Linked DNA regions of Nothobranchius furzeri. The protein of the gene in region 2 purifies or fractionates together with the protein of the main gene of each other region. This does not show direct contact. Links are inferred from orthologs where the notes say so. Each region holds a gene or a part of one and is shown on either strand. Other genes may lie near its edges.

Region 1 (5,728 bases), on a different chromosome or scaffold from region 2:
CTGGTCCGAGTATTCCCCCATCTATTTTTATTTCTGCGGCTAATTCAGAATGAACATAATGGGAAATTTTTCTTCAAATTACTAATACGGGAAGCAGGCAAGAAAAAGGGTTAGAAACAGTGGAGTTGCTCAGGTTAATGGGAGACATACAGGTATGCTGATGGTCTGTTATGGTGACTCGCTAGTGGCCCCATCAGCTTACTGTCAGAGGAACATCTTCTGTCTCCATTTGCTAATATTTCTGAACTGAAAATCATTGTTTCACGCTCAAGTCTTTTGTTGTCTCTATATCAGAAAGTAAGGCTGCACCACATTGCGATATTAACTACCGAGTTACAGCGTGACAGCACAGCCACAAAGTTTTTTGTCAAGTTTAGCTCCCCAGCCCCAGTGTGTGTGTGAGGGAGAAAGTGAGTGGAATAAATTCAAATGAACACTCAAACATATGTTTTATTAAAATATAAAATTAATTCATTTATATTTTTATTATCATGTCACACCACAGATCTGGTTTTCTTACAAACCCTAACAAAATGGACTACTGTAGTTGGGTGAACACCTTTCTCAGTAGAAATAAATGCACTGGGGGCAAATAGGAACCTATCCAAGATGGCAGCTGCGCTAATACGTCAGCTCCTATGGGGAGCGCCAGTCTATGAGGCGTCTACATACGTATATGATGCCAGTAGTTTGTCTCACTGGGCCACCGCATTTCTGCATTTACCTGGGTCCTCCAGTCACTGGTGTGAGAGGTGCTCAGTAATATCAGAGAAGGAGAAACAGCCGGCTGCTACCACTTCAACTTTAGGACAATCTACCAGAGTCCCAAAAAGAAAAACACCATTTGAAGTCAACAAAAGACGTTTGGACCTGGAAAACGGTAACTGGTGCTTTGCGCTCTCTCGTGTCCCCTGGCACGTGGATTCCTATATCAGGTGGGCGTGGCCAGGGGATAGTAGCCGATGGGAGAGGTGAGTGTTCTGTGACCATTTTTGTGTTTAAAAGCTAGCTTGTTTTGCAGATTTGCCTTTGCAGCTTTAAATCAGAAAGTCCATCTCTGTGCACTTCAAAATTCATTAACTGGCCACCCTAAAGTGTCATTCACTAGGCGTGAGAGGATGGCTGCCCATCCCATTCGTAGTCAGATGCTTCTTGCTCAGTGACTGCACAATCAACCTTTACAAACCATGTACAAATGCACCACGTCCTTGTACAGTTCTACACTGCCATCATTCAGACTATACTCACCTCACCCATAGTAGTCTCGTATGGTAATATGGACTCCAACTCACGTAAAAAACAACAACACATAACAGTCAAATCATCTAAAATTATAGGCCATACCCTACCTTCCACTGACACGCTGTACCATGACGCATCACACAGAGGGCAGGAAACATCCCCTCGGACCCCTCTCACCCTGCACATCATCTGTTCACACTATTGCCTTCTAGAAGACGCTACAGGTGTTTACAGTCAAAATCACATATATTCAAATACAGTTTTATCCCCAACAGCTATACGGTCACCAAATAAAGTAACTGCCTAAAGCTTTTGTATGTCCCTGTCTGTTTATTTTTAGTTACGTCAGGTGTAGACACAGAGTTGTGAGCATGTCGTGCTGCACAGGAAACAAATTCCACCAACTTGTTGTGTGGTCATTAATTAATTAATCTGAATCTCTTTAGTCCCAGACATGCTTGTCAAGATTAAGGTCACACCATATTTAACCCATAGAGAGGGAAATCTATTAGATAATGTGTATAATTATGGCTGGATTGTTTTCACAAGCTGTACCTGCACAGATGGCTGCAATCAGGCCGTTTCTGCTGTCTTGATCCTTCAGCACCTCCTTCACAGCAGGCGACTGGGAGAAAGGAAAAACAGATGCACACAGAGTCACTTAGCGGCCATGTGGCCCTCCATACATATTCACTGGCCATTCTGTAATAACACAAAGAGGCAGTGTGTTTAAAAGTATCCGCTATGCAGAGCTTTCTGCAAATCAAATGTTTCAGCTATGGATGTTCTGATCACAATTTTAGAAAGGGCTACAGCAGAAAAATGCAATATTTGACAATTATGATCTGCAAGCTACTCAGCAAAAGAAATGCGACTCAGCATAAGGAAATACTTTACAGTAAAAGTTGTTAAAAACTTGTTTTTATTTCTATTCTATCGATTTCAAATGCAAACCATATCTGATGAAAATAATTCTAGAGCCATGTGGCTGCTCACTGAGCACAAGGGCCAATGAAAATGTCAAAAGTAAGTATTTTCTCACCTCTGCCAGATTCTGAGCACCTGGCATTCCTCCTGGCAAGACAACCACATCATATGGGCCCTTGGACACAAACAAAATGAGTATTACCTGTCTTTAAAAAAATCTAAGTTATCTTTGACAAAGATTTGAACATTTAGAACTAAATATAATTCAAGTAACTCTTTGATGTATTTCCTTTATTCTTATAATTTTAGATCCATGATCCAGAAATTGGTAGAATCAACGTCAAAATTAACAGGAACTGCTCTGATACACATCATCGTCCCACAACAAATACATCTCATGAGATGTTTCCCTAACATGTGACTGCTTGTCTTAATGCTCTACCTGTTTGCTGGCTTCCTCCAAACTTGTATCAGGACAGATGACAATGTTTCTGCTGCACTGGACTGGCTCTTTCCCCGTCAGACCTGCAACTGTGACTGTAATCTACAAATATGAAAATGTTATCACAACTCCAGAGTAACAGGACTACATGGCATCCTGCGTCATGGTCAACGAAGGCTTTTATTTTGAAAGGTAAAAAGAGGTTGGACTTTGACATTTAAACTTGGCTTCTGCCTGGAGTCGCTAAAGGTTGGGGGTTCGTCTAGAATTTACAAACTACAAGCTCAAAAGGGGATTCAACTTTTGAGGTTAAGGAGAACAATAGTTGCAGGACAAAACTGCTTATTGCTTGACCAAGTGTTAGCACTCATTATCTCAAATTAATTATTTTCTTTACCGTCACAATCAATGTTTAATAAACCACTATGTTTAAACATAATTGTAGCATACGGTCCGGTGTCTGCTGTAAGGTCAGTTCTATGGGTTAGCTATGAACCGCAGCATGCTACTTTTGTTTACCATAGCATGCTAACTGTTAGCATACAACAAGTTAACAAGTACAAACCCCGGCTCTGCGCATTATATCCACAGGAATAACAGTTTCCATCTCCTCTGCACCTTTAGACAGGATTACCAACGCCTTCTTCCCTGCCATAGTTAGCTTACAGTTATACTTCTGCAGGAACTAAAACGCTAAAAACTGCGGCAGCAGACGTACAGACCAATGCAGACTTTCAACGGGAGGAATAGGTTGCCAGATCCGTCAATTTATCCCCCTTCCAAAAAGGCAAAGCTCCACATGCACAAAAACATGTCAACTAAATCATCAAAGGTGTTTATACTCTGAAATAAATGTAAACACAATTCTTGTACAAATTTTACTTACAGTCCACTATTTGTGTAACATTCTGACCTCTGAATGGAAAACACAAATTCATATTTTCAATTTAAAGATTGGACTGATTCCCTTATAATAATAATAATAATAATAATAATAATAATAATAATAATAATAATAATAATAATGACAAAAATAACAATAATAATAATAATAATAATAGATGATACCATACCATATTTTGTCCAGCAGAGGGTGCCAGGGTACATATAGTAAATATTAAATATTTGAAATTTTTGTTGTTGGAGCTTTAGAAATATTCATGTCTCTTACTTATTTGCAACTTGGACTTTAACTGTTGGCAAAATCTTAAAAGAAAAGCTTTCAATTGAGTCATTAGTTTTGTCTCCAGCTCACTGTGTTTTACAGTACCAGCTGAGCAGACTAATCCATGTTGTAAAATAGCTCTAAAGGAGCAAAAAGTTTTTATTTTTTCCAAGTCTGTGCGAAAACTTCTGTTCCAGTCTCTTGAGAGACTTAGAGATCCGCATTCCAATGTAAATCCCAGACTTGATGTCTAAGGGCTTTAGTGTGCAGGCACACATCCTTGTTAATTTGCCTATGTGTATTCTGCTGCAGAGATTCATTGTCATATTCTTCTAACCAACTCAGAGCCCAGTGAAATGACGGATTAGACAAAAGCGGAGGAGTTGCTGCCAGCAGGTTGTTCGCTGCGTGCCTGTGAGTGAATTCAAGAAGCAGCTGTGATTACCAACATATGCAGCTGGGGATCAACTGCACCAGACCCGCGAACACACTCGAGAAAATTTCCATACATTAATTCACTTACGTACAATTACTAATTCTGTTCAGTGTGTTATCATCAAACGCATGATTAGACTGGGATCCAGTTTCAAAAGTGACTTGAGGATGAGTCACAGGAAAGGAAACAGTAACCACTGATGAATGGAAGTGTTTGCACAGGGTTTAATCATCTAAAGGTTCAAGCCACTGTAAGTGACTGAAAACATAACTCGAGTGTAACAGTCACTGAAAAAGAAGTTTGTTTGCTTTGCACTTTTCAGCTTATTCTCACCAGTAACTTTTAAAAACTATCAATACATGTAACACTAAGAGGAGACTTTTTCATTGCACACCTTTGCTCTCTTTCAACAATTTGCTCCAGGAAAAGTTTGAAAATCAAGTGTGAATGATGCAGAAGGTGTAAAACTAATGAGGCATTAATTTTGTTTTGTGCTTTATGCAGCCAGAAGTGTAATATTAGGTAGGAAAGATGAGGTGATTTGTGAGCATTGTATGTGTTAAAGGCGTAGAACACTTGTTTAGCCAGTACACTTGCAGTGGTCTCTGGTAGGAATTAATGCCTTGCAAGCCGTACTCGGGGCAACGAAAGCCCAGAAGCGTCTGGATCATCACGGACAAGTCTGCTGCAGCAGAGAGTGGCACAACACGACAGGATTTGGAGTCTTATTTCCTGATATTTGGACATCTTGCCTCCGATTGGCTAATAGCAACATGACTCTACCACCGACTCTGTTTGCTCTGTCAAAATAATCATTAAATTTTTTTTTTCAGTGAACCACACCTTTAATAAAGTCTGAGCTGAGAACATGCCCTTCTTTAGCATCTTACGTCTTCTCTGCTTCCTCATCATCAGGCCTGCCTCTGTTTGCTCAGTTAATATATTTTATCTGCTTGCTCACAGAGGTCTGCTTACAAACCTGAAGGGTTTTTGGGTTCAAACCTCAGGGGGGACAAGAAAACAGAACTTTTTTCTCCCCGTACCCAAGGAGCAAAAATAAAACCCTCAAACTGAAATGAGGGAATTTCACAAATTACAGTTTGTTACCAAGTAATCCTGTTATGAAGTGGTGTAAACATGAAAATAAACTGCTAATATGACAGTAGAGGCTCTGTTCAGCTGAGATAGATGACGGCAAAATGCTGTTTCACGTTCTGAGCTAAGGGAGTCTGCAACAACAAAAATGAAAATTTGCTTCTACAGGCAGAGATTAAAAATTTAAGATGTTTTATGTTTTTTAAATTATTTGTTCTTTGCATTGCTTCATTTCAGCTCTTTTCAGTGAAGACCTTTTCTAACCAATTTCCCCCTCTATGCCATCTAATGCGGGTAACATTTCTGCAGCGAGAGAGCTGATGAATATTTAGAAGCAGTTTATCTTCCCATCTGGGCACAGGCTTTATCTCGTGTCTGTTTCACACTCTGAGAGCCACCGAGAGCAGGGAGTGAGTGACAA
Region 2 (5,535 bases):
GCTAACTTTGTTTATAGCAACATACTGTACTCTGATAAAGTTTGTGATTTTTGTATTTCACGTCTTCAAAGAAGAACTTACATGCAGTGCAAGTGTTTTTCATTTTTGCCCCATCATATTTATTCTAAGTCATCTTCAGAGGTAAACATTTTAAGTACAAATTGGAAATTCACAACTCTACAGCTTGCTTAGATTACTCCTTGGGGTATCAACTCCGCAGGGGAAAAAAACTCAATCTCTCATTTCTCCAGAAAGATCAGAGGCAGGTCAATTTATCTAAGGAAAATACTTGGAGGATGCAATTTTGAAAGTCATGCGCCTGCTATTTGTTGGCAGTGATGAGTACATCGCTCGTGTATGTGTTGGGGCACAGCTGTTGAGTTTGCTGGATGGATGAGATTCCAAATCAAACTGTTATATTTCAGAAGGCTGACTCCTAACTGGTCTAAAATGTTAATACAACATAAAGTTTGCTTTGAGAAACTTATTAATGCAATATTTTATTTCTGCTTTCCCAGTTAAAATTAAAAACATACCAGGGTACGTAGGTATTCTGACTCTAGTATCAATCTAATTGGAAAAATAAATATTTTTTCCAATGAAGAAAGTGAATTAGTTAAAAGGATGAGTAAAAGTAACAGATTAGCTAGTTTCCTGCTGGTTCCATTAGCTGTGTAGCGTCGCCCTCATGAGGAAGGGAGCAGCTCACTCACGCACCTCAGTTTTCAATGGTCCCATTGATTTTTAAGCATTTAGTCAAACACAACTTAAAGAAAAATCTTTGCCAAGATTAAACATTTTAATAGCTTGCTGAAAACTATGAAGCTTCATTTAATTTCTTGTAAACAGGCTGGTTTCTAGGATGGGCAGTGGTATGATTAAAAATTTGTATTTACCTTAATATTCGTGGAAAACTAAAATCACATGCTGGCTATAATTTCCTGGCTCATACAGATCTTTGGTTCTGTGTAAACAAATACTAGTATTGCCACATTTATATTAAAATGTTATTCATGCAAGAGCAGGTTCGATTCTGTAATTTGGCAAATTTTTTGCATAATTAGCCAATTTTGTCAGAAATATTACTGAATAAATTTTTTGAACATTGCTAAACAAAAGTATTTGCTTTGGTAGGACTTTGGATAGCTTAATATCTAAACTAAATTAGGACTCCTGCTCTGAGCTTTGAGGAATAATCCATCAAAATCTAATTTAACCCTTTGATGAATGAATTATGAAATCTTCAACCATGATTTTTTAAACATTGTTTCATCTTTAGGTGTGAATGAAACAAATTTCAGCAAATAGTAATATTGTTAATTTACAAATAATTTATTACATGTCCAACTCAGTGGACAGCGTGCATTCTGAACATAAAATATGTTGGCTTGGCTTACTGAAGTCCAAATGAGGGGCTCAATGCAATAAAATCTACAACAGCTGTGCTTAATAGCAAAAAATAAATAATTTTGAATATCTGTCCACTGTAGTGACCATTATGCAGCAAAGGGTTAAAAAAAACACAAGACTATTTACATCATTTGAGGCATTTATGTTTTTTAATAACACATCTGGAAGTTTGTGCGCTACAAAGTCTTGAGTCCTAGTCAGTGGACATAAACCTACTCAAACAATTTAATTAGAAAGGAAACTGGGCAGAAAACAGGTTAACAGAACGCCACAAAGTACCGAACTGGACCGTTTCATTAAGTAGCCGTGTTGGTCTCTTGGGGAATATAGCTTATCCAGTGCTTTTACATTGCAGATTTACTGGGCGATGCCAATAACGCCACAGGCTAGACGAGCTCCAGCATTTCCAGTCTTCAGGCTTTCTTCGTTTCCTCCTTTTCCTAGATCGTCACGCTTCTCGTGGATCTAAAAATAAGTAGTTTTACATAAGCTACATTTTTATTGGGGACAAATTTAGACTAAAATCCTTAAAAAAAATAAAATTAAACAAAAAGGGAGGATCACAAGCCCAGATGAAGACGTACCACCATGGTTCGACCAATGATTGAGAGAGGTCCTGAGAGTTTGATGACGCTGTCTGTGATGTTTATCTTGGCAACATTCCCTTCAGCAGTCACATTCCCCAGGTCTCCAACATGTCTGATAAAAAAAAAAATTGTATCAGATTATAATATATTACAGTCAAACTTTATAAAAACAAAAGCATATCAAATACAAATAAGTGAATAGGTAAAAGTGATCCAGCTTCTCATGAGGGACTCGCCTTTCTTCATCTGCAGGACCGCCGTGATTCTTGTCAAAAGGATTGAAGTGAGGCCCCGCGCTAATGCAACCTGGTAATAAGTAAAGGTAAATATTACAACTCTGGGAAGCTTTTATGACAGCAAGCAAGTGCACCTAGATAGGAAATGTTAACAGTTAACTGAAAATTTGGGGGGAAATGTGGAAAAACATGCAATTTCTCACCATTTGTGTTATCCCCATATACATGGACGTGGAAACCATGTTCACCATCAGCAAGGCCACTGATTTCCCCAGTCACTTTAACAGGGGCCGATTCATTCTAGGGGACACAGGCGGTCATGATAATGTAAGTAAATATTATCACGCACGTATAACAGAAAAAAGTCAAAGAACTTTGCAGGCAGGAATAAAAATACTACAGAAAAGTTTAGATACGTCATGGTCAGACGGTAGAGAGTGACTCAGCAGAATTTTAGGGAGGAAATCGTGTTTGTTTTGACTTTAATGGCTGCCTCTGTGCAGCGATGTCTCCGAGCTGCTTTGTGATGACAAAAGAAGAAGAAGCTGCTAAAAACAGGAATTATGAGTGACTGTGGTGAGAGATCCCTCCTGGGGTCACTGAAGTCAACATTACCGTTGGTGAGACGACTGAAAATTACGCAACAAGCGTGTCCACTGTTAATTATTACCATTCTGCAGACTATAAAAGGTTAAAGGTTATATTTTAACTAAACATTTTTCCATTTCAACCACGACAGCCACGTCGTGCCAGCACGAGTAGAAATGTTTGAATTCAAAGTGTTATCTAGAACTTGCTGCACGCGCACCTAACATTTCTACGGTTCGTTGAGCAACTAGTTATCTAATTGCATATGAATTGTTTTATAAACTAAGAAAATCAGAGCAGATGTATCAAATATTCCACTATCTGAAAGTCTGAGGTGTAAATATGTCGCTAACTGCCAAGTTAGTCAAGAGCTCCTCTAAAAATGGATGACATACTTATGTTAGCTAGCTTAGCACAAGACAACTACGGCATCCGTATAGTGTTTAATTAAGTTGAATTTTATGTCCTCTTCGCGGACTACAACCTCGTTCACTTCGTGCATACTGTGACATCTTACCTCTTGCTCAAAGTGAACGGTCCCGGCTGTTTTGTCAGCTCCCTTCAACACACACACAGCTTTCACCACCATCTTTGCAGCAACTCACGAGTAACTATCGCGTCACGTGCCCCCTCGAGAGTCACATAAGAACGTCTCAAGTGGGCGGGTTAATTCAGTGATAGCCAATGAGAAAACGCGTGGTTTAATTGGCTGGCAGGAAGCACGCATATATGTCGATGATCAACACATTTGTCTGCGTTCATGTTTTGGCAGTTTCGTTCTTTAAATGTTATTTATTAATAAGCTTAGTTTATAGTTGATTAAATCTCGTATGATTGTAAAACATACAAAATAATTATAAATATTGAAATTACTCTTTTTTAGTGACTGCGATAGATAGATAGTTAGATAGATAGATAGATAGATAGATAGATAGATAGATAGATGGATAGATGGATAGATAGATATAGATAGATAATACCTTTATTAGTCCTACACTTGAGAAATTTCATCGTTGCAGCATCGACAGTACAGTCAGAAAAGCAGGTAAGATTAAAAAAAACATAATTTTATTTAAAAAAAAAACAGTAATATTAAAAAAAACTAACAAGAGAAAACCACAATCTTCCTCATTCAACAGCCAGCTGCAATGGCCTCATAAAATCTAAAGCCCCATTCCCACCTGTACCGGGTCGGCCCGGGCCGGGTAGCATAGGTTGTTTACATATCTGGGTGGCCTGGAATTTTCCCGGGCCAACCAAGGCTCATTCTCGGCCCTCTTCCCGAGGGGTACTGCTTCAGGCCGACCAGGGCCAACACACCCACTGCTGACAGCAAATTCACACCTTCCATTAGAGCAAGCCTCTGATTGGTGGGTAGAATCAACCCATTCACACCTTCCATTAGAGCAAGCCTCTGATTGGTGGGTAGAATCAGCCCACATGGGCTTAAGGCAAGGATGTGTGGAATCAACCGGGCCAGGCTGGGGCCGACTGGGGCTACCCGGCCCGGGCCGACCCGGTACAGGTGGGAATGGGGCTTAACCGCTGCTGGGAGAAATGGTCTTCTGAACCTTTCCCTCAGCGGTGTGGATGCAGCAACCTGCTAGTGAAAGAGCTATTCAGTGCTGCCAGAGTCCAGTGCATGGGGTGGGAGATGTTATCCATCAGAGAAGATAGCTTGGCCACCATTCTCCGCTCAGTCACCACCTCCACTGGGTCCAGAGGGGCTCCAAGAACGGAACTGGCCCTCTGGACTAAGCGAGTCTTGATTAATTTGTACCGTATTTTTAAAGTTATTTGAATTTTTTACACTACTTATGCAGAAAAATAACTGACTTGTATTCTTTTCTCAGAATTTAGTTTGGGTAAAACTCAACAATGCAAATCATAAAACTATTAATGGCATAAAAAAGAAGCAAGAAGTTGGTACAAAAATAGTTTATTAAAAACAATTTCCTATGGCTGAAATATTGAAGATTTCATATCCACATCTTTTATTTTTAAAAGAAATAGAAACATCGGTCAATTTTCAAACCACTAGGAGTTAAAAACGTTAAAGCAACTGGTCTCGGTTGATCTTTTTTTATTTTTGTGAGTCAATGTTTTGCTTTCAAATAAAACAAATCACAGATTATTAACAACTATTACAAGTAGGTAAAAGCTTATTTACAGCATGTTCTGGGCAGAACCCTTCATTTATTTTTCCATCACTTTATGGGTACGCCTTTCTGTTGAACTGCCCCGCAAACTTTATAATTCTGGGTTCAGAATGAAATCAAAATATGGTCTTCAAAAAAAAGTCACATTTTAATATTCTGTCAAACAGAAAATATTGGTTACTTTAATATTTTGCATGCACTAAAAGTCAAATTAGTGGAACAAGTGATAATGTCTGAAAACAGGAAAGATAAATGGAAAAATAAAACTTACAAAAAAAAACATTTCAGTCCTTATGCAAGGTATTTGAGTCCTTTTTTTTCTAAACACAATGACAAAAACAACATTTTTTGTAAGAAATACTTGTAATAAATGACCCAAACCAAGACAAGGTTTTGCAAACCTTAACTTTAGTAATTTGTCATTCCATCCTTCCTCCTTTTGTTTCCTGAAAATAAAAACAGACCAAAGGAACACCAAATTCAACAAGTTACGGTGTAATTTAATGTCCGTTAAGTTTTGATGTGCATAAATTTTGAAAAACTGACAGCCAAGAT
Region 3 (5,657 bases), on a different chromosome or scaffold from region 2:
AATAAGTTAGAATGTTAAATATGAACTCAAAACTAACTTAATTCTCAAAGCTGTGAATGTCCCACATTGGTGTTGTAACCACAATTAACTTTTGACATAAATTTACATAAAATGCTAATAATTTGTGAAAAAACACATTTTTGATCCTATTATTAGATATTATTGGCAATTCAAATAAAGTGCTCTAATTAATTCAATTCAATTAAAGTTTATTTATATAGCACCAAATCACGGCAAGGGTCGTCTCAAGGCACTTCACATAGTAATCTTTCCAATACAGGTTAGTTCATTAAGCCAATCAGAAAAAAATTTCCTATATATGGAACCCAGCAAATTGCATCAAGTCAGCAATCCTCATACTAAGCAAGCATTTAGCGACAGTGGAGAGGAAAACTCCACTTAAACAGGAAGAAACCTCCAGAGAATCCTGGCTCAGTATAAGCAGCCATCCGCCACGACTCACTGGGGATCGAGAAGACTGAGCACACACACACACACAACACCAAAATAAATATGTTTGTACCAATACCTAAAAATATTTGTACTAATTACATTTTTGGTAATTCAATACGTTCTCAATCCACATTTTTCTTTTTCTGACCTGCACCTTTGGATCAAACATACCAACTATAGGTTGTAGCAACTGAAATGTCTCAGGTTGTCCTTTTTGACCAAGTTTAAGGCATTATAAATATTATACTGTTTTTGTCTGTACCTTATCATGCATTTATCAGTATCCTTTAGAGATTTCAACATGCAGATATTCCAAAACTAATACAGATATGGAAGAAAAGCAAACATTTACTCAAAACTTGGTTTAGTGCAAACTAGAGGAAACATTTAACCTTTAACACATTTCCTCAGAGAGAGACACGCCGTCTCGCACTGAAAGGATCTAAACAGCGTTTCTGCTTTAAATTGGCTCTGATGAGGCCATCTTTAGTTGCGCAGAGCAGATAAAAATAGCAACGAAGATCTCCCCGGCATTGTCCCTGCAGGAATAAGACACCATGCTGACAGGATCACTACACTGCATGAACCCTCAGCTGTTTGAGCAGTGAAATTAATCTGCGTCTTTAAAGCATCTGATCAATTTGGGACAAAAACTCTCACACTGAAACAGTCTCTAAACTCTTTATTATAATATTTCCTCAAAACCGTTCCACTTCGTTTACATTTCGGCTGTGACACAGAAAGGTTAACGCGACAGGTACGATCCTCTCGGCAACACGAGAAGCACATCATGCACATCTACGGGGAGGTCAAAGTAACAGATCCACAAAAATAAACAGACAACGGTACAAAGGCGAGTAAACGTGATCGACAAGAGCGGTGACCCTGTTCGCACAAATAAAGGTTGTAAACGTTTCAAGTGAAGGCGTGGACAGTCGGTCCACCTCTAGGTGTCAGCCTTTAGCTCGAGCACTTGGTGTGGGAGTTCGTTCGGCCGTTCTCAGTAGAATCATCAGTGCAGAATGGTGAACGTGTCAGCCTGTCCCTTTTTTTTTTAAATATTAAAACTAAAGAAAAAAGGAGGAATGACAACATTACACAAATACTTTTAATAAAGACAAGGAAGAAGTACTGGAGGTTAAGGGGCGAGGGGACCAGATCATCTGAATGGAAGTGACGCTGCTGGGATTTTACGCCTTGGCGTTGATGATCTCAATAAACTCAGGCTTGAGGGAAGCTCCGCCCACAAGGAAACCATCAACGTCCTTCTGGGAGGCGAGTTCCTTACAGGTGGCACCAGTGACAGAGCCTGAGGGGCAGCGGCGGTTAATGAGACGGCATTAACGCAGGAAGAATGCGGGACGTTTGTCCGTTTACTCACCTCCGTAAATGATCCTGACAGAGTTAGCTACAGCCTCAGAGACGTTGGTCTTCAGCCACGCCCTCAGCTTCTCATGAACTTCCTGGGCCTGAGAAATCACACAGGAAACTTGTTAAACACTGCCGCCCTGGTGGTCCTCAAGCAGGAGTATTTAGTTGTTCTCCCACGTCTACCTGTTGCGGGGAGGCGGTCTTGCCTGTACCAATGGCCCACACGGGCTCATAAGCAAGCACCACCTTGCTCCAGTCCTTTACATTGTCTGCCAAACAGATAAGACCACAGATTTAGCAACTTCTCCAGATTAAGGGAAAACGTATTGCTCCATTTGGGCTTTTTCCTCCCGTGCACACGAGTTTATATAAAAGAAGCTGCATACCTGCAATGACTTTGGTCTGAGCAAACACCACCTTCTCCGTGATGCCTCCTTCCCTCTCATCCAGCTTCTCACCGATGCAGGCGATCACGCCGAGACCGTTCTCCAGAGCGTGAGCCGTCTTCTGACCAATAAGCTAACGTTGCACAGGAGGACATTCAATAAACACGCCGTTTAATCCTCTGTGAGATTTAAACTGTTAAATCTTACCTCATCGCTCTCTCCAAAGACGTGGCGCCTCTCAGAGTGTCCCAGGATCACCCAGTTCACACCACAGTCCTTGATCATCGCAGGGCTGGAGGCAGAGAACGGATAAGACTCACCGCAAACCGCTAGATCCACAGAAAAAGGCTGGACAGGTTTCTACGGCACTACCTGATCTCCCCAGTGAAGGCACCCTTGGGAACCTTGTAGCAGTTCTGAGCTGCCACACCAAACTTGGCATCCAGCTTGGACCTGGTGAAGTCCAGGTAGATGGATGGAGCGCCACACACCACCTCTATTTATGTAGAAGGTTACATAGTCAACAATAAAGGCTTTTTATTAGCTTTAGGACTAATTCCTATAAATATTGAAATAATCTACGATTTTTGTTTTAGAACAAAACACATTCAAATAATCCTTAAACATGGTCCCCCTGTGTGAATACAAGACTTTGACACAAGTACAGTGAAGTCCAGACACTGACATTCACATTGTAACTGTATCTTTGGGGTTACGAGGAGCTAAATTCAGTTTGGTAAAGGTCATTTGTCCCGAGCCAGAGTCAACAGCAGTAAAGGTCTGAGTTCAGTTTCTAAAAAGGTCAACTAAAGGCTTGCATTCTGCAGAGGACGAGACATGGCTTAAACCTGGGTTCAAAAGGTCAAATGACCAACATGATGGACATTAGAACAACAAGGCAAAGCCTGTCTGGCACTGCAAGGGAGGTGGACTCATTTAGGGGGCAAGGTCCAAGGACAGTATGAGCAGTTGCTCCTGGACAAGCGTGGAGCAGGTAGATACAACGTTAGGGTTGCATAATAATGCTGAATCGCAACAGGTTTGGTTTTGACACAAAGTCTGCGGACCCTGCAGTGAAGGGGGGAAACAGCTGCTGCTGTTTTTTCTGGTTTGCAGAAGCAGATAGTGCAGACGATGCGTTCAGGTAACGATAGGGAAAAATAAAAAAACACAGACTCAGACATTCACGCATGAGCAAAAGGTAAACATGCACATTGATTTTAAACGTATATAAATTGTATTTCTGTTTTAATTAAAACCTCTGATCTTTTACTAGCTTTGTTCTGTATATTTAGCCAGCAGGCTTTGGGAAGCATCAGTGACCAGTGCTTGATCTTGAATGCATCCCGGGAGCTAGCGTGACTACGTGCAGCTGCAAACGCACACCCACCTCCGACATCACCGAAAAGCTTCTCTGCTCGCCCTTCACCTGTACCCCTTCATACTTTTCTGTCTATTTTAGGTTAATTAAACTCGATTCAACACGACAATATAACGACTGTTTCTTTTTAAGGGCTTTTAAAATCATTGAGGAGGAGATTTGTGATGCTAAAGGTGTCCTTGTTTCATGACTGAACGAGCCATTTTGAAAATATATCAAAAATCGTTTTGAAAGAGAAAAAATTGACGAACACAACGGGGTTAGGCTGAAAGATTCAACGAAAGTTTTAACTCGGTTGTTAAAATCCACACATACCGACATTAGCGTCCACCTTTCCTCCGTTCAGGGTCTCGATGAGCTCCCCGAGGCTTTTCTTGTCTCCATTCATCTTCCAGTTTCCACCGACAAAGAATTTCCTGCTCATGTTTGCGGGTTTTTGTTAGGATTTACTAGAGAATTAAACTGGACAGTACCACGACGGGGACCTTCTCTTTCGGGGCAGAGAGCAAGCGTTTGATGGCTGCTTTACCTATTTATACGGAGGGAATTTAACACCGCCTCTTTGTCAGTATACCGACACACCATTGGCGTATCACGGAACGCCGATGAACGCATCACCGCAGCAGGGGAAGAGGAAGAGCGAAATGTCATGCTGCGTTCAAGTGCTGTTTGAAAAGTTATTTACACAAAGATAAACCACAAAAAATACATGTTTTAATTGAATGAAAAAGATACGTAGTTGTTTAAATAACTAAAAACAGTTCGAAAAAACTAAATAGCAAAAATTTAGCTCACTTATGCATAAAAATCATAACTTGATGAACTGAATGTATTGTGATATCACCTAAAACGTGTTTACATCTTCAGATACTATCTGTGATAACATTTCCACATTATTTTGTGATTTGATAGCTGAGATAAAAGTACTACATTACGAATTACAAACTAAACTGTTAAAAGCACAACGAAAAAGAGTATTCTACACCTGAAAGAACTGTTTCTCAACTACTGAACACATCACATAATTTGTATAAATATGTTTAAGTTGGATATGTAATTATTTTATTTTACGTACGAAAGTAAAACAAATGTATTTGAATCATGTGCAAAAGTGTTTCCATTTGAGCATTTATTTAACGCTTTCACTTTGAATGACACAGTAATGCGCTTTTGGATTGGTCATGACTAGTGACCCACCTAGCCCCGCCTACCTTTAATGACAACTGAAGAACAGATGATCTGGTTGGACAGATCACGGAACTTGTATTTACATTTTACATACCCAACATGCATTGCGGTTAATCTCAAATATTATACTTGTAAAACACATATAAAACACGTTTGAAAGTAACTTTTTGTATTAAATGTTGTATTAATTTACTTTTTATAATGTACTTTACTATCAGCTACTCTAACTGTATTTTGTCAAACCGTAACAAGAATGTATGTGTCCCTTTTATTAGTATGGTTGCGGAGCCGTTTCAGGTTCAGGATAATTTGCTCTTTAATATTTATCTAGCAGGTTTCTCATAATGAGAAGCCCCTTTAATTGTGAGAAGCAACCTACCTGACTGGTATTGTAGATAACGACTTAACAAAACAGTTTCTGTCTCCAAATAATGTGGTGCACATGTGCATACTTGCGCAGTATAAGCTTGTTAGTCTGTCTATTAAATGTCTCTCAGTTTATCTCAATAAATTAAAAAAAATTAAAAATTCTCAACATCATCATAGCTTTAAGATATTTTATTTTTCAAATGGATCTTTTTCGTTAAAATCCGGTGAAAAACTAGCCTTGAGAACTAGACCAATTTCTTGCTTTGCAAAGTCTGGCTTGCCAGGCTAGTGAAAAACAGATTGCCTCACCTTTACCCGTGTTACTGTAGGGCACAAACAAGCCCCTCCCACTTTCCTCAGGCTATCCCAGTAGCCAATCACAATGCAGTTACTCTTATTCACATCCCGGGGCCTTGCATTTTCGGCTTTTATTTATTACCAGTCACTCAAGCGCACAACGAGTTTCCTACTTGTTATGGTTCACAGAAGGAGTTTTTGTGAAGTTAAAT
Region 4 (5,773 bases), on a different chromosome or scaffold from region 2:
AAGGAAATAGATTAGAAAGGGTAAAATACTCATGGAAGCATCTTACCCTTGCCCATGTAGCGCGTCTTGTCATTGTCACGAAGCTCCAAAGCCTCGTAAATACCTGTGGAAGCACCACTGGGAACTGCAGCTCGGAAAAGACCTAAAGAGATAAAGGGGATTCTTTAAAATAAAAAAAAATACTGTCGCTGTTGAATTAGACGGTATGAGAAATCACTAGTTGTTGTACAATTGCAGCTTTACACCAAACGAGTAGAAAGCACTAGAGGATTTCATCTGCTCCCTAAAAGGGAGAAAACAGGGGGAGAGCTGTGCCGGCTCTGCTGCAGAGGAAAGACGGAGTCAACGGAGCATGTGCAGTGAATTTGTGGCATGATACTAAACCACGCCCACATAAGAGGATAGTCATTGTTGGGTCCCAAGAGTGAATAGAAACTAAAAAAATATTGAAAATAAGTTTTTCCATTTTGCTCAGTGGAGCAGCAAAGATGATGAGTAAGGGGATTTAGTGCTTAGGGCATGGGACACAGCCACTGCCCGGGCCCAGTTAATGCTTGACAAATCATCTGCAGCTCCACACCAGCTGGCAGCAGGAGGATGCTGGCAGCGGCCCATCAGGCCCACAATCAAGTGCTATCCCACACTAGCTGCCAAGTTTCAAAGTACAGCAAAAGATTCATTAGCAGAACAAATGCACTTAGTCACAAAATTTTAATAAAATTCTTACCCCACCACACAGGATCAGTGGGTGTAAACATCTAACAGAGCAAAAACCTAATAACCTCTGGGAAAAACAGACATTCGCCGTTAATGATGTCAAAGCTGGGCTGCTGGACTTAAAAGGGAATCTTGTGCAAAAAGAAATCAGACATTTACAGTAAACAGAGCACTCAACAACCAGCCAAACTCACGAAGAGATGGCTGCAGAACAGCCAGACAGCGTTTTCAGGACACTGACCAGTTTCACTCACTTCCAGGTCAGTGACCATTCAGGTTGCTTCATTAACATTCTCAGGATGTGTCAAGCAAGTCGAGCAAACCCTTTGTTTAGTTTAACAAAACAAATAAATAAAACCATGGGTCATTATGAAATGAATTGATCCAGACCTTAGAGGACTCGTACAAAAGAGTACAGATGACTTCTAGGCAGCGTAGTCACATAATCCAGAGAAGCTAATTTTACATCACTTCAGAAGAGGAGGTTTCTAGTCATTTGAATTTTAATAATCAGCTGATGTGGTTTGCTACTGATGTGTACTGTATGAGCTGTGTGCTCCCAAACAGGAACCATTACAGTAGCTGTGAGCTGTGGAGGTCATGTCAAGTTACAGCAGCTATTTTCACACATTCATGAATGCCATCCACTCTGGGCCAGCAGCAGTAACCAAGCACAAACCTGACCTAAATATCCACTTTTGTATGTTTCAGGGGGAATAACAAATTATGAATTAGCAAAGTAAGACATTCTGATTGCACTGAAAATTCAAACTTGCAGAACAACTAGGAAGTTTGTATTTTTCCCCAGATTGATCAAGTAAACTATGAAAAGAAAGATAAGCCTAAAACTTCATAAAATATTCAGGTTTAATGGAAAAATCACCAATTCTGATTAAATGATTCAAAAAATGAACAACTAAACTACCCATGTCTAAGGAGGAAGTCATTCAGCACCTGAAGGTTGTACAGAAAATCATAAGAGCTCTTACAAACCTTTCTTGGTGTACAGATCGACCTCTACGGTGGGGTTTCCACGAGAGTCAAAGATCTCACGAGCGTGAATCTTCAGGATGGACATTGTTACAGATCTCCTGCAAAAACGAGAGCAAAAGTTCATTACCGATACTGCAACCATTCAGGCCTCCCTACAGGGGCACTCGCATACTTAATGGTCCAGTGAACAGTGACTTGGCAAAAAATATAAATGCTCTGCAGCACACCTACAATAAAACTCAATGTGAAAAAGGAGTCTGGGGAAATATTGATCAGCTGTAAATCTTCTTGAAGACTAAAATAAATGAGACCTGCACACTATCAGACTGATGTGATCCGAACAGAATGATTGTTGCTTCAGTCGGGGCGGGGTGTGGCTTCTGCAGCACTAGAAAATTCTCTGCAGGTCAACTGAGTTCACAAACCACTTCCGATTGTGAAATAGTTTGCAAAATGTTTGCCCCAGTAAAGTCAAGAATTATGCAACAATATCAATATTTAAGCGTAAATGTGCAAAATAGGAACGTGATTTGGCACCAGTGCAATGTTTGGCCTTTTTTGTAACAAGCTTCGCTCTGATACAGACTGCAGGCTTAATCTCAGAGCTTTTGTCACCTCCATTTCTGCAGTGGAAGTCAAACAGTGTAATGCCAGACTGTCTGGGCCATGACGCCTGCAGTTTTATATTGATTATTGTGTTTGTTCTACTCAACTCGCCCTAAATTCATATTCTGCAAAGTCAAGCGTGAGTGCAGCTTAATTAAAACTAATGGAAAAGGCAATCCTTAAAAGTTTGTGTGGAAATGTGCCACAGACAAATTCACAGAGGAAGTGTTTTTTTAAGACTGGGTATCAAAACTCAAAGCTTTAAAATTTAAACGACCAAATCTTAGTCCCCAAATGTGCCGTAACGTTAGCACAAATCTTCAGGATCACTTTGTGAAATGGTTCACGAATAAGATCAGTTTTAGATAAACCATTATCCCAGAGTTTGGCTGTTTTATTATTAAGTGTGTGGGACTTTATTTTTCATTAAAATATTTAAAATACAAACATATGCAGACCAAATTTTGTAGCAGGTTAACTACTACGAACATGCAAAACCCTTGACTATTTGGATTATTTGTGAACCACTCCTGTAAATGTCCCCCCTTTAGCAACATGTTATCCATTCAGCCACAGACAACCCGTCTTGAAATAAATGTGCATTTTCTGATCATTACTCAATGCAAGACAGAAATGCGTGAATAATCCAGAACAATTATTTTACAGCTGGTAAATCAGTTAATTCGAGACATCATTACTTCATACTGGGTTAGATGTGGATTATTTAGTTAGTTTTAAAGCATAAAATAACTCCTCTACTGGACTTACAGCGTTTTCTCTGATTGTCCTAATAAAGATGCAAGAATCCTCACAGGACTCATTAGCTTGGGAGAATGAAGGAAACCCAGACGCCCGTGCAGGCTTGTTCCCCCTCAGTAATTTTCCCTGACACGGTGGACACACCTCCGTGTATGCTGCAAGCAACCGGTGGTCAAAAAAACGAGTGGCTTTGAAATTCCTATTCGAAACAAGAGGGTCACAAATAATGGCTCCTCGTCAAAATGAAGAATACGGTCTGCTGCAAGGTGGCCTTGCAACCGGACACCCCATTCCCCCTCACACACTTCAGCTCTAAATGGAGAGATATCTCGCCAGCTGACGGCGTTGTTTAAAAATAGACGACGAGTTAAAGAAATCGCTCCATCCTGCTGAATACAACAGCAAGATGAAGGAATCAAACGTGATCGAGCTACCAAAATATTCGACAGTTAGCTAGCACCGACAAGGACAAACCGCGGAGGATTTCGTTTAAGAGGAAACCCATCGTGTAGTAATTTTAAAAAGCAGTAAAGTGATTTTATTAGCACACTCGGCTTAACAATAACCACACGAAGCTTTAAAATGTTTGTTAATCGAAGAAAAACAGGAGGAAAGGAGAAAAACAACGGTAAAGGTTACCTTTTCCGGCCTAACTGTGTGCAAGGACGGTGCTCAGTCTCTCGGGTAAGCAGGCAGAGAAGGCGCTCGTGACCCTGTGAGCTGGAAGATAAGTGGTCGGAATCAGGAACGGTGCGACGCTATTGGCTGGAAGAGAGACACTACGTAGAGGAGCGCGAGGAGGAGCGCACGTTCACTAATAGGAGTTAGAGGACCCGGATGAAGGGCAGGAGGATGCGGCTTTTCTGATTAAAAAAGCATCCCTACAGGAGCGCAGAGATGAGAAGCGCTCTCAAACAATGAATTATGGGAATTATAGGCTTCAGCTAGAGGTAGGAAGCTGATTGAATACTGCTATATGGCAAGCCATTTTGCCATATAGCAATTAGCCAAATTGCTTTGATTTTTCTCCTCAGGGTGGCTTAGAGATAGAATGAGAAGCTCGGTCATCCGGGAGGGGCTAGGAGTAGACCCGCTGCTCCTCCATGTTGAGAGAAGCCAGCTGAGGTGGCTTGGGCATCTGGTCAGGATGCCTCCTGGACGCCTCCCAAGTGAGGTTTTCCGGGCACGTTCAACTGGGAGGAGACCCAAGGGAAGACCCAGGACACGCTGGAGGGACTATGTCTCTCGGCTGGCAGGGAACGCCTGGGTATTCCTCCGGAATTGCTGGCTCAAGTAGCTGGGGAGAGGGAAGTCTAGGCGTCCCGGCTTAGGCTGCTGCCCCTGGGACCCGACTTCGGGTAAGCGACTGAAAATGGATGGATGGTTTCTAGTCAAATTGAACATTTCACTTAGCCTGGCAAGCCAGACTAAATAAATGTATTATTTAGTCTGGCAACGCTCCATTGACGGCTCTCGGTTGTGGGGTGGGTTCTACCGTTGTCTTTCAAATGATCGCCGCATGCTACTGGACAAAGAATGTGACATACTCTTGTTTCTCTCTGTTGCATCATCCCACCCACCAGGCATATAGAGTGCCCTGATTGGCCCACAAAGCGGATAAAGCTCTGTGATTTGTTCACTAAGCAGCAGGGGTGGACTGGCCTATCTAGCATTCTGGCACTGTCCCGGTGGGCCACTTAGCCAAGTGGGCTGCTTACCCTGCTTGGGCCGACACCACTTCACAGTTGGTGATCTGCAGAACATTAGCTATATGAAAACCTGAAGCTACCAGAGTTTTTCCAGTCATTTTTAGCTAGAAAAACGCGTTAGAGCGATGACGTATAAGTTGTTTTACCGCTTTAGCATGTAGCTAATGTCCCGCTGATCTCCGCCCATGGGGAATGAGCTGATCTAGAAGGCCAGGGCTCCCAGTCGCAGCGGTCTGCCCATGCTTGTAATTTAACAGTCCCAGTTCATATTAGAACTCTCATTCGGCCTAGAGACGAGTCCACGGGCGGCAACATCCCCCACCCCCAACGCTCTCCCAATGGGGAGGGCCGACGATTCGTAAAAATGCCAGGGCCGAATTTTGGTCCCAGTCCACCCCTGCTAAGCAGATAGAGCACTACGATTGGCCCACCATTATGGACCAATCACAGCTCTTTGTGTGTTTGAAACCCCTCTAGAGAGCTGTGATTGGCCAGCCAGAATGCTGTTAGGGGCTGCAGAGGTTCCAGTGGAGCATTCCTAGAACAAACTTTGCAAAGCAAGAATTTGGTCTAGTTCAGTGGTTCCTAATCTGGGGGTCCCAACCCCCACAAGGGGGCGCCAAAGCCTCTCAGTGGGTCGCAAGGACCTCTCCACTTTAAGGGGTTAAAACTTCATTTATTACTTGTTTATAGCCTACATTTTGCTCCCATTTTTTTCATGAGTGAAAAGTTTACTGATATTAAGATAGGAAATAATTAGTACAGAAAAAGTAACACACTTTTAAGAACATTTTGCTCAGCTCACTGTTTTATTTTCAAGTGTCAAAAGTTCATTAAAGATAGGACTGGTTGATTAATCACAGCCTTTACAGTAAATAATCTAGTATAAACAGTAATATACACATTTAAGTACATTTTGCTCAGTGTATTTTTTAACGTTTATTGAAAGGAATGATTGATTTATCAGTGTTTACAAGAAACAATGTTTT

What was found.
Region 1: the proteins of sod1 (region 2) and park7 purify together in Homo sapiens (affinity purification with mass spectrometry; 4 studies listed by BioGRID and IntAct, with this or other methods). This does not show direct contact. The link is inferred for Nothobranchius furzeri from reciprocal best matches to the Homo sapiens genes SOD1 and PARK7.
Region 3: the proteins of sod1 (region 2) and tpi1b purify together in Homo sapiens (affinity purification with mass spectrometry; 3 studies listed by BioGRID, with this or other methods). This does not show direct contact. The link is inferred for Nothobranchius furzeri from reciprocal best matches to the Homo sapiens genes SOD1 and TPI1.
Region 4: the proteins of sod1 (region 2) and eno1a fractionate together in Homo sapiens (co-fractionation; 3 studies listed by BioGRID, with this or other methods). This does not show direct contact. The link is inferred for Nothobranchius furzeri from reciprocal best matches to the Homo sapiens genes SOD1 and ENO1.

What each region holds. Positions count from the first base shown.
Region 1 is NC_091743.1:63,724,942-63,730,669, forward strand, and holds the start of park7 (Parkinson disease protein 7 homolog), read right to left. Parts: upstream 3,378-5,728; 5' UTR 3,267-3,377; coding exon 3,177-3,266; intron 2,714-3,176; coding exon 2,612-2,713; intron 2,345-2,611; coding exon 2,285-2,344; intron 1,868-2,284; coding exon 1,798-1,867; intron 1-1,797. UniProt on the Homo sapiens protein: Multifunctional protein with controversial molecular function which plays an important role in cell protection against oxidative stress and cell death acting as oxidative stress sensor and redox-sensitive chaperone and protease.
Region 2 is NC_091750.1:63,536,795-63,542,329, reverse strand, and holds sod1 (superoxide dismutase [Cu-Zn]), read right to left. Parts: upstream 3,490-5,535; 5' UTR 3,411-3,489; coding exon 3,339-3,410; intron 2,534-3,338; coding exon 2,437-2,533; intron 2,304-2,436; coding exon 2,234-2,303; intron 2,110-2,233; coding exon 1,995-2,109; intron 1,876-1,994; coding exon 1,768-1,875; 3' UTR 1,538-1,767; downstream 1-1,537. UniProt on the Homo sapiens protein: Destroys radicals which are normally produced within the cells and which are toxic to biological systems.
Region 3 is NC_091745.1:74,101,716-74,107,372, forward strand, and holds tpi1b (triosephosphate isomerase B), read right to left. Parts: upstream 4,176-5,657; 5' UTR 4,016-4,175; coding exon 3,907-4,015; intron 2,707-3,906; coding exon 2,583-2,706; intron 2,503-2,582; coding exon 2,418-2,502; intron 2,344-2,417; coding exon 2,211-2,343; intron 2,094-2,210; coding exon 2,008-2,093; intron 1,923-2,007; coding exon 1,835-1,922; intron 1,763-1,834; coding exon 1,644-1,762; 3' UTR 1,121-1,643; downstream 1-1,120. UniProt on the Homo sapiens protein: Triosephosphate isomerase is an extremely efficient metabolic enzyme that catalyzes the interconversion between dihydroxyacetone phosphate (DHAP) and D-glyceraldehyde-3-phosphate (G3P) in glycolysis and gluconeogenesis.
Region 4 is NC_091755.1:28,666,522-28,672,294, reverse strand, and holds the start of eno1a (enolase 1a, (alpha)), read right to left. Parts: upstream 3,853-5,773; 5' UTR 3,715-3,852; intron 1,809-3,714; 5' UTR 1,796-1,808; coding exon 1,711-1,795; intron 143-1,710; coding exon 47-142; intron 1-46. UniProt on the Homo sapiens protein: Glycolytic enzyme the catalyzes the conversion of 2-phosphoglycerate to phosphoenolpyruvate. In addition to glycolysis, involved in various processes such as growth control, hypoxia tolerance and allergic responses.